3 linked regions of the Schizosaccharomyces pombe genome follow. The gene in region 3 interacts genetically with the main gene of each other region. Each region holds a gene or a part of one and is shown on either strand. Other genes may lie near its edges.

Region 1 (7,170 bases), on a different chromosome or scaffold from region 3:
AGTAGATAGAAGTGTTTGATGGAATTGCATGATCAGCTTTTACAGACGCCGCATCATGTTCAGTGCCGGCTTCAGGACCTATTAAAGATTAGTTATAAACCATTATAATTAATACAACGAACCAAAGAAATAAACCCCCATGTTGTTATTCATCAATTCTAATGAATCTGACTTATCGTTGGGATTCCATGAAGATGGAATGGCTTTCGGCGTATTTGTTACATTGCCCTCCCTTGTCATGTCAAACTCTCGTAAATACTTCTCCCATTTCAGCCATCGTGGGTCACTTCTAAGCACATTTTCTCCGTAATTGGTTCCTTGTAAATACAAGGGGAGATTGTCGAAGTTAATCGGCTGTTTTTCAAGATTCTTTGGTGTACTAGTCATTCGCAGGTATGCTCTTGGTAGCATATAAACAGCCAGTTTTAGTAGCTTATTCAGCTATCAGTTTAAATGTTCAATTTTCTAATCAGTTTTTCTTTTGTAATTAAATACAAATCTTTTGTAATAATAATTGGTAAAACTCTTAAATTTTTAAATGACGTGTAAATTTCAGCAACTCTATAAAATGCTCTGAGACTGAAAAGATACTTCACTATACGGCTTCATAAGGATTAAAGGCTCAAAATTAGAAATACAAATATTAGGCTGTATATACAGTCCTATTACTAATCAGAAAAAAATTCAGGCACAACATAACATTGATACTTGTCTTGCGATAATACATAACACAATGACATTGAGAATCAATAATAATAAAATAGTATTATAATCTAACGGAAAGCTAAAAAAACGACTGCATTAACGGAATGCATTAAACAAGAATAGCTTTAATCGAGCATCATAATAACAACTTCAACTTCTGGAACTAAATAATGATAGACGGTCCTTAAAAAACCATTCGGTGGTTTTCAGGAGGTTGTGGCATTGCATGAAGGAATTGCTTAATCGATGAGATGAAATAATTTCAACTTCCATTATCAATGAAGAAAGTTTAACTAAAGACATTTTTTCAAGCATTGAATAGGAAAAGAAAATCCATATGACTAAACAGAAATGAAAATGAGTATGAAATAGACCGGCCTAACTAAATTTCATCGATTTCTTTATATCTCTGCATTAAAAGACGTTTGTACTCGATAGGGTCTTTACTCCACAATTCTGCAGCTCTAAGAATTGTTAATAATCAAAAAAGGTAAATGAGATATTTTCAACATACTGAGCATTCAAGGGAGAAGCATTGTTTGGCTCACCCAGCAGACTTTGTAGAGATAACAAAATTGTCTGTACGTTATAGACTGCTGACCATTTATCTTTTAAAATGTCTAAACATATGTTTCCACTCATATCGACATTGGGGTGCCACATTGGTGAAGTAAAAATGATAGTTGGAGGGGAATATGGGTAATTAGCTGGAAATGACATTGAAATTTTAAATTTCAATCCTTCATAGTACTATTTTCGTTACGTTAGTCGTATGAAAAAGAAGAAAGAAGAGTAGACAGTTATGAAAATGTAATGACAAAGATGTGTATTAATTTTCCATTAAAGTGCAGCTACAAGTAAGCACACCAAGCATTATTCATATACTTTAAATATTAAGCTTTCAAAATAAAAGTCATACCGTATCGCTTGGGCCGGTAATTGTGCCAGCCCAATGTAGCAGGTTAGAATCAGAATCTGGAAACGCACTAATTCCAGGAGTATTGGACATCTAGTCATAAAACCCTAGTTAATAACAAAGTAAAAAAGCTTATTACAAACCATTAAACTCATTAATTCGCTTCTCAATCTACAAATGCATTAGAGACTTTTTTCCTAAAAACTGTTTATTTTTTACCGTTTTGTAACGCTATGACCGTCAACAGCCATGCCAGCAGAAGAAGAGTTTTTAGAATTAGTATGAGGGTTCTGGTTTTGCATATCAGAATCCATTCCTCAAGTTGTTACTGTAGTTTCTCAATGAGTACGTGGTGGTAGGAGAGTAAGTTATAAACACAACACAACATGTGCTAATGTACACAAGTAAACGAAAACCGGATATCAAATTATAGTCCAATTTTATATCATTATATAGATTTAAAACTCATTTAAAAATTACCTTAATTTAATCTTTTCCAGTCTTTGATGATGTTAAGACTGTAAATAATACACATGCCAAAATTTGCAACATATGCTTGTGTTATATTATAATCTTCTTTCCCTTTACACCAAAGAATGGCTCAAAAATTAGATAACTTTCCTTACCATATTGGTAGAGAAATAGGTACTGGGGCTTTTGCTTCGTATGAATTTTGATTTGAAAAATACTATATACTAACTTAAGCAAGCGTCCGTTTATGTTACGATGATAATGCTAAAATATATGCTGTCAAATTTGTCAATAAAAAACATGCTACTAGTTGTATGAATGCAGGGGTATGGGCTAGAAGGATGGCTAGTGAAATACAACTTCACAAACTATGCAATGGACATAAAAATATCATTCATTTTTATAATACAGCAGAAAATCCCCAATGGAGATGGGTAGTACTTGAATTTGCTCAAGGTGGTGACTTATTTGACAAAATAGGTGGGTGCATGAACCTTTCGTTTTTACTAACGGACTTACAATTTAGAGCCTGATGTAGGTATTGATGAGGACGTCGCTCAGTTTTATTTTGCTCAACTTATGGAAGGTATTTCCTTCATGCACTCTAAAGGTGTCGCGCATCGAGACTTGAAACCTGAGAACATCCTTTTAGATTACAATGGTAACTTAAAGATTTCAGACTTCGGCTTTGCATCTTTATTTTCCTATAAAGGTAAAAGTAGGCTTTTGAATAGTCCAGTGGGTAGTCCACCATACGCTGCTCCAGAAATTACACAGCAGTATGATGGTTCAAAAGTTGATGTCTGGTCCTGCGGTATAATTCTTTTTGCTTTGTTATTAGGCAACACACCTTGGGATGAAGCAATTAGCAACACTGGTGACTACTTGCTTTATAAAAAACAATGTGAACGCCCGTCTTACCACCCATGGAACTTGTTGTCTCCAGGAGCCTATTGTAAGTCCTGACTGAAATTCCTTTAAACTAATGATCAGCGATTATCACCGGAATGCTTCGAAGTGATCCATTTAAGCGCTACTCTGTCAAACATGTTGTACAGCACCCATGGCTTACCTCAAGTACACCATTTCGAACTAAAAATGGGAATTGTGCCGATCCTGTAGCATTGGCATCAAGGCTCATGTTGAAACTTCGTATTGATTTAGATAAACCACGTCTTGCCTCATCTAGAGCATCTCAAAAGTAAGATCTTGCACAGTTGTTTCATATTTCTAACTCTTTCAATTAGCGATAGCGGTTTTTCAATGACACAGCCAGCTTTTAAAAAAAATGACCAAAAGGAGTTGGATCGTGTAGAAGTTTATGGCGCCTTATCCCAGCCAGTACAACTTAATAAAAATATTGACGTTACTGAAATCCTTGAAAAAGACCCCTCATTGAGTCAGTTTTGTGAGAATGAAGGTTTTATTAAAAGATTGGTATTATTTATTTAAACCTAAATTTTTTCTAACTATATGAAAAAGGCCAAAAAGGCTAAGAATTTCTACGAAATTTGTCCTCCTGAAAGACTCACTAGGTTTTATTCTAGGGCGTCGAGAGAAACCATTATAGATCATCTTTATGACAGTCTACGACTACTTGCAATCTCAGTGACTATGAAATATGTTCGAAATCAGACCATCCTTTATGTTAATTTACATGATAAACGGAAATGTCTCTTGCAAGGTGTTATTGAACTAACTAATTTAGGCCATAACTTAGAGCTTATAAACTTTATAAAGCGTAATGGGGATCCTCTTGAATGGAGAAAATTTTTTAAAGTATGTCTTTATCATAGGGATTTCATATACTAATCCATGTGAAAGAACGTTGTCAGTTCAATAGGGAAGCCGATTGTTCTTACAGATGTTTCACAAAATTAATTGCACATCTTTTGAAAGGTCGTGCCAGTTCGTTTGTAAAAGAAACCTGTTGTTTGACTTCGTTGTGAATTTATTTTCAATTTTGTGGTAGTACAAATGATATCCTAGGGAATAGGATTATTAACGCTTTGTCAAGCAAATATCAATGGTTGCGAATGCTGAAGATATATTATTAGCATAAGGATAGTTCTTCCGACTGGCCATGCCGTTTAATACATCATTGTACCCAATATTCTTTTCTCACAATTCTTTCTTCTTTTTCTCTTTTTTAGTGAGATATCTGACGGCTCATTTGATTTTAAAAGGGATAACTCTTCTGAAATAACTCTTTCAAACGATTCTAAAAGGTCTTCATTTTCTTGGTCGGAGTATAAAAACTCATCTTCTTTACAAAATAGTAAAAGGTTCTTTTTTGTGAATTCTTGTCTCTCTTTGGCTTCCAGGTAAGCATGCAAAGGAAAATGTGACATCGATGAACCAGTACTTATCAATGTAGTTATCCATAAAATATCGTCTGGAGTCTCTGCAGACATTAACATGTCTTCTCTTGTAGCCTCATCTACTTTTAAAAACTTCTTTCCGTGAAGTACTTCGGGAAGCTCTAAGAAACAGTTAAAGCCCTCACACACGATATGTAGCCAGCGATGATTTTCAGTAACAACGTATATATCCGAAGATTCAATTAAATGCATCCGGATGTCTCCTATTCTCTTTTCGGCTGCTACTTTGTGAACAGGTGTTAGTTCTCCTAAACTCACCTTTTCATTCACTAGTCGTTCTAATGCTTTCCATAGATATGTTTGGTGAGCAGGAGGATAAAGATCATATAGCATTAGCTGATGAGTTAATACCTTGATGTCCATTATCCCTTTAGACAACTTTAAGTGAAGCCTTTTAATACAGCTGTTCTTGTTTACAAGTGATAGCATATTTTCAAGGCAGCTATTAGTTATTTGAGGTTTCACTAATGTTTTTGATGTTCCATTTTTAGTATCGAAGACATTCATCAAGTTTTTATCTTCGTGCTCAAAGATGGTAATAGTTACTGTAGGTGGAAAAAAGGCTTTACTCTTGAATTGAACATCTTCGATACATATATCTAGGTTATCACAAAAGAAGTTTACCCAAGGAATTTCAGTAGAGCACATGTCTGATACTTGGGCAAATTTGCAAAAGCTTGGGGTAATAACCTTTTGGTCACTGAAAAGAAACTTTGTGCATTGCTGTGACAAGTCGAGGACCCTTTCATTATCTTTTTTTTCTTTTATTGTAGCCTGTTCGTTTCTAGAGCTTTTGGATTCGAGTACACTTTCATATTTCAATTCAGAATCATATATTGGCGATACTTCACTGGAAGCGATGAGGTCGGAATATATAATCTGTGTTTCTTCTAGGTCGGGAAATTCGGTAAAATCTTTTACTCCTTCTATTATGGCTTGTTCATTTTCAAAGCACTTAGATTCGAGTATATTTTCAATTGCTAATTCAGAATCATATATCGGCGATATTTCACTTAAAGTCGTGGATTCGGGATATAAAATCTGTGAAGATAGTGATAAGTCAGAAAGCTCAGAGCTCTGTTTTATATCTTTTAATTCAGCATTTTCTGAGTGGTTCGGTTTGTGGGTACCTTTAGGTGCTGATTTGGAATTATTAATTGGCGCCAATTTGCTCAAGGTTGTAAATCTACAGCTTAGAAGCTGTGGATACCGAGGCTTAAATATATCTTTATCTCCCGTATTGCTTTCTTTCAATAGTGCCCTCTTCGGTTGAGTTAAATGCGAAAATGCCTTTGTTGCTTTTATTGCGGATGTAACCTGACTAATGGAAGAATTTTCGTTAAATTTTTCAGGTTTTGTTTGGTATTTACGAGCTGCCAAATGTAATTTGATGTTACTATTCGTTGAAGATGATATTGATTCCTTTTTATTGTATGCAGCATTCCAGTATTGGGATAAACTTTTAAACGGCGAGCTATTAATAGTTGAAAGTTTCGTCTGGAGTTCTGATTCCATAAAAGAGGTGCCGCCCAATTGCAGTATACAAGCTATGAATGTTATTGGCTTGCTTACGCCGAGCTTGTCGAAAAGGTTATTAGCCTTTGAAGGATTTTGGTTTGAAGACTTATTTTCCTGTTGACTTAAGAAGCCTTCTTCATTTTTTTTTTTTAAAGTATAATTGTTCTCTATTGATTTTGGCTCAACTTGGGGTTCTAATGGCATTTCTGCCATGCTTTCATCGTTATCAGAACCCATACAGCAGAGAGGAGCGCAAATTTTTAGGATCTTTGATTTAAAACTTGTCCAAGAGCTACCAGAGCAGTGAGTATCACATCGGTTACTTTTTCCCTTTTCCTGTATTTTATCAGGACGAAAGGCACCTGATATTTTAATCTCTGGATAAGCAATTTTACTGTTCATTACGAAGTTACTTGGCTCTTTTGAGGCTTGAGTGATTGCCAGTTGGATAACTCAGTAATTAGAGATCGTGTTCAATCTCTTGAAGTGTATACAAAGGTTGGGTAAAACATGTTCAACCTTGGGTTATTTATATTAAAAAACAATTCATTTCGTTTATATTAACACATTGTTTTATCATAACTAATAATTTATGAAATCCCTCACAATAAACAAACATCGAATGATAATTTGATGCTCACCTAACATTTGCTTAAAAAAGTGTTAAGTAAACATTTAATATTACTAAAAGATGATCATTTAAAAATAAAAGCTTTCGCTAACCATTTGCATCCTGGATAAATAGCTCAAATAACAAAGGATTTAGATTAACTGAATAGTAATAATATCCTTAGCTAAGCCTTTGAACTAAGCCTAAATAAACAACACCAATTACTCACTATTTACAATGGATGTTTGACTTGTAACCAATAAGGAGGCAAGATTTACTAAAGACAACCAAGTATAATGTTGTAAACAAAAATAATAAACAAATCAACATTGCTGCAATTATACATTCGAAAAGAATCATTTAACGCAATTCTGAGTTAAAGGAAAATAATGTGTAAATAAACAAACGAAAAAGAGTGGAATACTAGCAACTGTAAATAAACAGAAGTTATTTTTTAGTGATCGAATTATATTGTATTTATGTTGTCAAAAGTTATTGATTCATGAATACCCCCGAAAATATCTTTCTGAAGTAAAAATTTCAGAAAATAGAAAGTGTTTTATTTTCGT
Region 2 (3,583 bases), on a different chromosome or scaffold from region 3:
TATGTAAGGACAGAAACCTTTCGAAACTTTCCAGATCACGATTTGTATAATTTAAATCAAAAAGCTGTAGATTTGGGTTTATCGACTACGGAGCCGATTTAGTCCGGATTTTTTCAACAGCGAGATCTCAGAAAAATCGAAAAACACTGCTTCTTACTCACCAAAAAAATCCCTAAAATCACAGTAAAGTGCTTCAGGAAATGCGGATCCTTTTTTTGATAAAAAGGAAATTTGCTTGCTTTTTTAAGATCTCACACAAACAGAACTAAATCTTTCACCCTCTCTTATGGTGAGTTAGTGGTAAACGATAAATACTTGAAGGTTACATATTAGTAACTCAATTATTGTACCATTCGATTCCACTATGTTAAACCAATTGTATTACATAAATGATAAAGAATTTCATTGTTCAACTCGAGTTTTTCTAATAAACCATTTTTATTTATAGACTGCAGTGACTACTTATTCAAATTCACATTGAATATGAGAATAAAAACATTCCAAAATTTCTTAACATTTTCTTGTCATAATAAAAAGTTAATCACCAGGCTTCTGTTTAAAGGTTTTACCATTATTTAATATTTGGTATTTCAAACACAGAGCATAAATACCCGTCGCAGAATTGAAAAATAAAATCCTAAATTTTTTATAATTGCCCATTATATGCGTCTTTCGAACGTAAATAATCATCACTAAAAACCAAATCCTACAAATTTTTACAAAAATAATACACAAATACCATTTTGTGAAACATTAATTATCCCTCAACTCAATATTTTGGTAGCTTCATTCCTAACTGTCATCTTGGAAAGATTCGAATAACACAAAAGAAGAAACAAACACAAAAAAAACAGATTCACGGAACTAATCAAAAGATAGATGGATATGTGCAAAACAAAAGCTTAACAAGTAAACCAATTTCCTTCGTCTATTATAGAGAAATTTTTGAATACCGCTAAATGCAATCGCTTTATAGAAAATTCCTTCTAATATGAGTTGTATCTATCACCACAAATATACAGATAAAAAAATTCTATAACATATGTAAATACCAACTAACTTCACTCTCTTTAAAAAAGCAAAGCTAAAAACCAAAAAAGATACTTATCCAATTATTCTCTTTCCTCCTTCCAAATTTTTAAAAGAAACATTACCATAAGCTCATTTGGCTTGGTACTGCTGTCTGTAAGCATCCATTGCCTTTGATTCAGCTGCAGTTAAGTCTGATTTGGTAAAGTCAACAATGTCGTCCAAAGTAAGGATGGAGGAAACGGGTAAGTTAAGCTCCTTCTTCAATCTACCAATGGTACTTTCGTTTACTTCGGGGTCCAGTCGCTCTTGGCGGTCAAGCAAAAGGACGATACCAGCCAATTTTACGTGCTTAGGTTCTAAGAAGGAAATTGCTTCACGAATGGCAGTTCCAGCGGTAATAACATCATCCAAAAGTAAAACCTTTTTACCTTCCATTTCGGCGCCTACAAGGTTACCTCCTTCACCATGGGACTTGGCCTCTTTGCGGTTATAGGCAAATCCATAGCTCTTTCCAGTTTTTTCATAAAGTTTGACGGCCGTTATAGCAGCCAAAGAGATACCCTTATAAGCAGGACCAAATATGACATCAAAATCAACGTTCATAGCGATAATAGTCTCGGCATAGGCTTCTGCAAGAGCGCATAAATCGGCACCATGAGTGAAATTACCAGAATTGAAGAAGTATGGAGATTTTCTGCCTGATTTTAAGGTGAAAGTTCCAAACTTCAAAACATTATGTTCTAAGGCACGACGCAACAACTCAAGTTTATAAGACATGTTTACTACTAGTTTTGTTGATAAACGTTGATACTCACAAAAGAAAAAAGCTAGTATCACCTTTTCTAAGCTCTACATGGGGGTTATGTGGGGGAATAAACAAAAATCATAACTAAAGAAAAATGCAAGTTTGTAGGCAAACTACTCAATCTATAATCTAATGTGCAAAAGAGAATTAATGTCCTATCAAAATGGACTTTTTTCCTTTTATTAAAAAGTTTGACAAGTGCTTTTGAAGAAGCGAAATAATCTTGTCTCTGATAAAGTGCAATCGTTAACTTCCACTCAATTCAACCATGTTGGCTGAATTTTATCAATAACGCTCATATACTGGTTCACTCGATCCAAATTTCTGACATGTGAGTCTCCAGTCCAGAAAAGTTTCCAAGGTGTTTTGCTTGACTTTAAGGAGCCTACACTTCTTTCAAAGTACCATTTATTGACTGGATTAGTCAGGCGAGAGCGCCATATCAACTCTTTGGGAAATAAATCAGTCATAACATTAAACATAACATCAGATATTGCTGCTGAACCCTGGGCTCCTTGTGAGACGGCAAGCTTATCAAGATAAGGGACCTTTTCATTCGTTGTTCCATCTGGTTGTTCATAAGTTACAATGGCTGTCCCTAAATAGTCCCCTGCAATAATGACTGCAGCTAGCGAATTCTTCAACCTATCTAAATATGCGTCCATATCAAGCGTTCGCTTAAAGGAGTCATTAATTAAAACCCAAAGCCTTTCCCACGAAACGGAGCCATCAGTTAGACATTTCGGACCTAGGAATGTATATACCGGTACACCGCTACGCAAAACAGTTGTTTTCGTAATAGGAGATCGATCGCGCGGCAAGGAACATGAAATAATAGAGCGATCCGTCAAAACATTGTGAATTAACGGATTTTTGTCTAAGACAGGATTTGTAAGCATAGCATCCTCAGGCGTAGTGATTAGAGCAGAGGCATCATCCGGTAACATTTTCAAACAGCGTCTTACCAAAATCAAATTTTTTCTATGATAAGGTGGAAGTGTTTTCGCTAACTCGTCAAACTCTTGAGCCAGATTGATGAGAACATGACTAGAACCAGTTTGTCGTTTAGAACATGGCATGCCACCATTTTTATCAAGAATGACGATTCGGTCTACCCAAAACCCAAAGTTTGGCTTGTGTAACGAGTAAGTTAAACCAGCAAGAACCTCATTACCATCAATTGGAACCTCAATGACGTTGGGCATTAAAATCGAGCTTGGCACTATGACCGTGTAAAGTGAAGACAGCGCTTGAAAAATACCTTGCACATTCTCAACACTAGGGCCTTCAGGGCCCAATTGACATACAGAGGAGTAGCTAGGACGGGTTAACACTCCCGCTTTCGAAAAAATTTCCGAAACTCGAATGACTCTATTTTGCTGTTGCTGTAGCTCCTCAAAGATTGAAAGTTTACGTTTTTTCGCTACGACCGTACCATTCTCCAAATATTTAAAAGGAGATGTCATGCCAATTGGATTGGAAGTGGGAACAATCACTGATTGAATCCCTAAACGTGCCAGGCTATTTATACTTCGACCAATTCCATATAGGGTATTATCACTTAAAGAATCCACATCATCAATTTTGGTAATAGAAATTCTGTTTAAAAACGAACTCGATATTGGCTGAGCGAAGGATTTCTTGTTGGGAGAGCCATCCTTAAGCGAAGAATGTTTTTGCAAAAACCCTTTCGTAGACCTACGAGATTGGACTGATTTCAATATCCAAATAAGGTCTTGTGACAAT
Region 3 (4,276 bases):
GCCTATAAGGACTGATCCGGCGCAACAAAAGATCAATCCCATTCAAGTTGCACACTTTCAATTTAGCTTCTTTTGAATTAGCGAGAATGATAGCTAAAATTTCAACAGCGTACTGCAAATTAGTTGATATAGAAGTTTCATCAACAGACGATCTACTCAGTAACCATTCTACCAATGTTGTGTTTTCAACTATTATTGAACAAATGCTATTGTCCACAGATAATAAATTCTCCATAAGAGAGAGCACACAATATACTCCATGTCGGTCTTCCTCATTAGATTCGTCAAACCTTTTGATTGTATTTGAAAGCAAAGGAAGCAAACCAGAATCTATAAGGGAAGTAAATAAGGAGTTTAATGCGTCTGGGTCAACATCCTCGTCAGTCAGTTCTATCAATAGCTCCAATACCGTAATAGTAATATCCGCATTTTCATGGTTCATTAATTCTAAAAACGTGGAAACACAATCTAATTTAAGGAAAATGGGTATGAGGATAGGATACTCTGAAAGCACATTGAAGCTTCGAATTTCCAGATCAAGATCTGCCTCTGATTCTATAAACCTTTGAGGAGAAGTAGAATACTTGATGCGTAACTCCTGATTATTATTAATTGTTTTTTCAAGTCGTACTACCATGCGCTTCAATTCAGTAGGAGTCAATGAAGCAGGTTCTTCCTGGGCTTCCTGTTCGTCTAAAAAGTCTAAAACGGTTTTTTCACTCTTTTTAAGCCCACTTCCAAAAAATCTACCTCCTTCCTCGTCAAATTCTTCATTCTCCTCATCGCTATTCTCTTCAGCGAGTCTTCTGCGACTACTAGCTGGCTCCAAAGAGTCTGCTTCCTCAGGGTTCCTTTTCTTATTTGTTTCCTCGGTATTTTTAAAAATTGAATCTACATCCATTTAGAATAATGTATTTTTTATGCGCCAGTTTCCTTTTCAAATTGAATATATGAAAACCGTCTGATACAAAATAAATAATTTTGACAAACTTATATTTTATAGCCGCATCAAGTAAAATAAAAGCCTTATGAAAAGACTATCGTGCAATTCAATTATAACGCCTGACTCGTTCCTAAAATTCCTCTCGTTTACCAGTTCAAGTAAAAGCTAGGTAAGATGTAGGCATGTACAAAGTGTATCAAAAGTGAAAACCAGAATCTAAGCTTGGAAAAAAATAATAACAGCAAGTAAATTCCCCTCTGTTTTATAAATATTATACAACTCTTATATCCAAGAAAGGAGAGATTGGAAGAAGGATAAAAAGTGTTTATTTAAGAGAAGAGAAGCTAAATAAAGTGCATGCAGTTAACTCGAAATTTTTTAGGTTGATTAAATAAGGAAGAAATTAGATCCATCTTGTATTACCTTTCTTTTAATTGTAGCAATGACTTTTCAAAAGAGGGTGTAAAAATGACATCCTAACTGTATATATGATAAAATTACAATTATGGATTTTCTAAAGCAATTTAAATTTAGCTATTATCACTAAAACAGTTCGGCAATTTGCAATATTTGTCTAATAAATGAACCATTTGTTTCATAAACAATCAAATTCATTAAGCTACAAATCCTTAATTGTATCTTTAGTTTTGAGTCAATCAACTTACTGGGATCCTATAGCTTTTTTGAATATCATTTGGTAAATTCAAATATGGCTCTTAAAACTTGTATTTAATTTGATAAAATTTCTGTGTCGAGAGATAAATAAATAAAGACAGTTAGAAGTAGATGCTATTCAATTAATAAATAAAATACTCGTCTATTAAGCTTTACGGCTTTCCAAAAATTTATATATCAGAATAAAATATTTCACAATTTTTTTTTTTTTAAAAAAGAAAAAGCAATCTCAATTTTCATTTCCTTTAGTAATCTGCATACCTTTTAAAATTGTGCACCTTTTCGAATTTTACTAAATAACTTCTAACTTGAACTGTCTTTCTTATTCTGCGTTTGGTCTTGTAATCAAGTGTCAAGTCCTTTAATATCAGAAGGAAAAATTATCAATTTATAAGATTAGCATTTACGGGTGTTCAAGTTGTAGCATATAACCAATTTTTTATTGTTGGACGTAAATTCGCATGTTTCAAGCAGAAACAGTATGCTTAAAGCAGATTCAGTCAACATTACGATGCATTGATTTTTCAAAGGAATGTACTATCGAAATCACAAGTCGTGGACTACGGTTTGCAGTGGAGGAATCGCAGTCTTTGCAGGGTAAGACAAGTCGAGTCTCACATCTATGATCGTTAAAAAATTTGAAGCTACTTAATAAAGTTTCATATATTAATGCGATTCTTGAAATGCATTCACTTTTTCTTTATTGTTCACTCACACATTAAGCTCACGCCTTTCTTGATAAGTCGTTGTTTCAAACGTTTAATTTTCAGGGTGATTCAGATGGGGATACATATATGTTCCAGACGATGATTTCACCTCTTTTACAATCATTATCAATTTATACAGATGGAAAAGAACGGATTTCAACTAGTGCCTGGGATCAACCCACTGTAAACATAATGCACAAACGAGGCGTTATCTGCAAAGTACAGTATAATGGACCCGGCTGTCCATTTATATGGGAGTAAGGATTTTATCATTAACATTCTGTACTGACAAAAATAAAGAGTAGAGGAAATGGCTGGTTATGCTACGGCTTGTGAACTGTTGACTATGGAATGTGAGGACGACGTTGACATCAATAGACTTGCAAGCACATTGTGCACGAAGATCATTATGAAAAGTAACTGGCTATATGATGCCTTGGTGGAATTAGACAATAACATGGGCGAAAATTTAATTATTCATACATCATCCCAAAAATCAACCTTCTTATTGAGATGTGTAGGGGCATTATCCACTACGGAAATAGAATATCCAAACGAGAAAAGTGTTTTAGAGTCTTTTGAAACTGATTCTGAAAACACTTATTCCTACCGCTTCTCATTAATAAGACATGCGCTGAAAGCATTACAAGTGGGTTCTAAAGTAAACCTACGTATTGATGAAAATGGAACTTTGAGCATTCAAATCATGCTTGTCGGTCAAGAAGGGCTTTGTACGTTTGTAGACTTTTGTATTGTTCCTTTGGACCTTGTAAGTGAAGATGAGGAGGAGGATGAAGAAGAAGAACCAGCAGAATCTAATCAGTCGGACAATAACGTTTTACGAAACGATCCGAATTATCGAGGAGATGCGGAGACCGAGGATGAGGATAGCTAAATGATAATTTTAGCACTCAGCACTTTAGTGTTTCCGATAACTTCAAAAAAAGAAAAAGGTACAATTGATACTGAACAACTTATGATAATACACTTATTCAACGAATCATGATTTATTTCCCTGCTTTTTGTTTGGTCTTATTTAGGTAGCTTAAAGTCACACCGTTTCCTCACTTTTTCTATGCTTATTTAACACACGTATAAACAAGACGCTTTCCACTAGGCTGTCTAGCAAAGCATGTAGCCAACAAAATTCCCATGTATCATACACACGATTATACATTATGGTTAGATCTACGAAGCATTCAAAAATTCTTCAAACATTATTGATTTTTAAAAAATAGAAAATGCAAAGTGACACTCATAAAACATTTGTTTACTCAAAATGGAGTCTCATCTCCTCTTGCATTCCATTTTTGGACGTTGTTGAGTCTCTGATCACAAATTCTCGCACTTTCCAACTTTATCTTGATAATTCTCATATCCTCACCCTCCACGTATTGTTTCGTATTACCCTTGTCATTAGTGTTTAAATGCTTTTCTCTAAAGAATTCCTCTTCTTTGCTATTCTTTGGAAGAACGGTAGCAAGGCCATTCAAGGTCACTGATGTATTCGAGAACTGAGCCTGATTCATTTTATAAAGTAAGGTGTACAATGAGGAGGCATCAGGATCTGTTTCTTGACGATTAGTGGTCCAGTCATGAACTAGTAATGATACTCGAGGATTCTAGTCATCATGTTAGAAAAAAGAAAATACCAATCAGGATCAAGGATAAGTTAAACTTTTAAATATGATACATACCGAACTGATGTTAAAATATTTTTTACTGTTTTCTCCTGTTGACAAAATAATGCAATCCTCCACTTCGTAAGGGGCAGCGCTTCCTGCAGGTAAATAGGTAAATGTCATCAAAGAAGAGTGAGGCTGATCATGAAAGCAAGTAGCTAGTTGAATATATTTGGATGAGGACAAGCATCTCTTGATTTGGCTGGGGAACTCATGAGATGAATCGACTTTTGAGGCCATATTTACTTTCAGGTTATTGTGGTGCGACA

The links. A genetic interaction does not mean that the proteins touch.
Region 1: of rad1 (region 3) and chk1, a mutation in one rescues a mutant of the other (synthetic rescue), as found in Schizosaccharomyces pombe (2 studies listed by BioGRID, with this or other methods).
Region 2: mutations in rad1 (region 3) and ura5 together harm fitness more than expected from each alone (negative genetic interaction), as found in Schizosaccharomyces pombe (2 studies listed by BioGRID).

Annotation. Positions count from the first base shown.
Region 1 is NC_003421.2:1,057,803-1,064,972, forward strand, and holds chk1 (protein kinase Chk1), read left to right. Parts: upstream 1-1,993; 5' UTR 1,994-2,217; coding exon 2,218-2,285; intron 2,286-2,330; coding exon 2,331-2,572; exon of another isoform or gene 2,573-2,618; coding exon 2,619-3,047; exon of another isoform or gene 3,048-3,085; coding exon 3,086-3,293; exon of another isoform or gene 3,294-3,339; coding exon 3,340-3,529; intron 3,530-3,574; coding exon 3,575-3,871; exon of another isoform or gene 3,872-3,916; coding exon 3,917-3,973; 3' UTR 3,974-4,182; coding exon of another isoform or gene 4,183-6,393; 3' UTR 6,394-6,641; downstream 6,642-7,170. Other genes in the region: gid1 (putative Ran GTPase binding protein), read right to left, coding at 1-78, 123-387; ubiquitin-conjugating enzyme E2-C Ubc11, read right to left, coding at 1,088-1,169, 1,220-1,455, 1,625-1,714, 1,765-1,792, 1,841-1,935; protein Meu27, read right to left, coding at 4,183-6,393.
Region 2 is NC_003423.3:1,229,305-1,232,887, reverse strand, and holds ura5 (orotate phosphoribosyltransferase Ura5), read right to left. Parts: upstream 1,846-3,583; 5' UTR 1,810-1,845; coding exon 1,162-1,809; 3' UTR 530-1,161; downstream 1-529. Other genes in the region: acetylglutamate synthase Arg6, read right to left, coding at 2,095-3,583. UniProt on the Schizosaccharomyces pombe protein: Catalyzes the transfer of a ribosyl phosphate group from 5-phosphoribose 1-diphosphate to orotate, leading to the formation of orotidine monophosphate (OMP).
Region 3 is NC_003424.3:4,976,540-4,980,815, forward strand, and holds rad1 (checkpoint clamp complex protein Rad1), read left to right. Parts: upstream 1-2,038; 5' UTR 2,039-2,079; coding exon 2,080-2,215; exon of another isoform or gene 2,216-2,341; coding exon 2,342-2,582; exon of another isoform or gene 2,583-2,625; coding exon 2,626-3,220; 3' UTR 3,221-3,599; downstream 3,600-4,276. Other genes in the region: SPOM_SPAC1952.06C (uncharacterized protein), read right to left, coding at 1-901; SPOM_SPAC1952.08C (pyridoxamine 5'-phosphate oxidase), read right to left, coding at 3,600-3,947, 4,023-4,247. UniProt on the Schizosaccharomyces pombe protein: Recombinational reparation of DNA damages induced by UV and gamma radiation.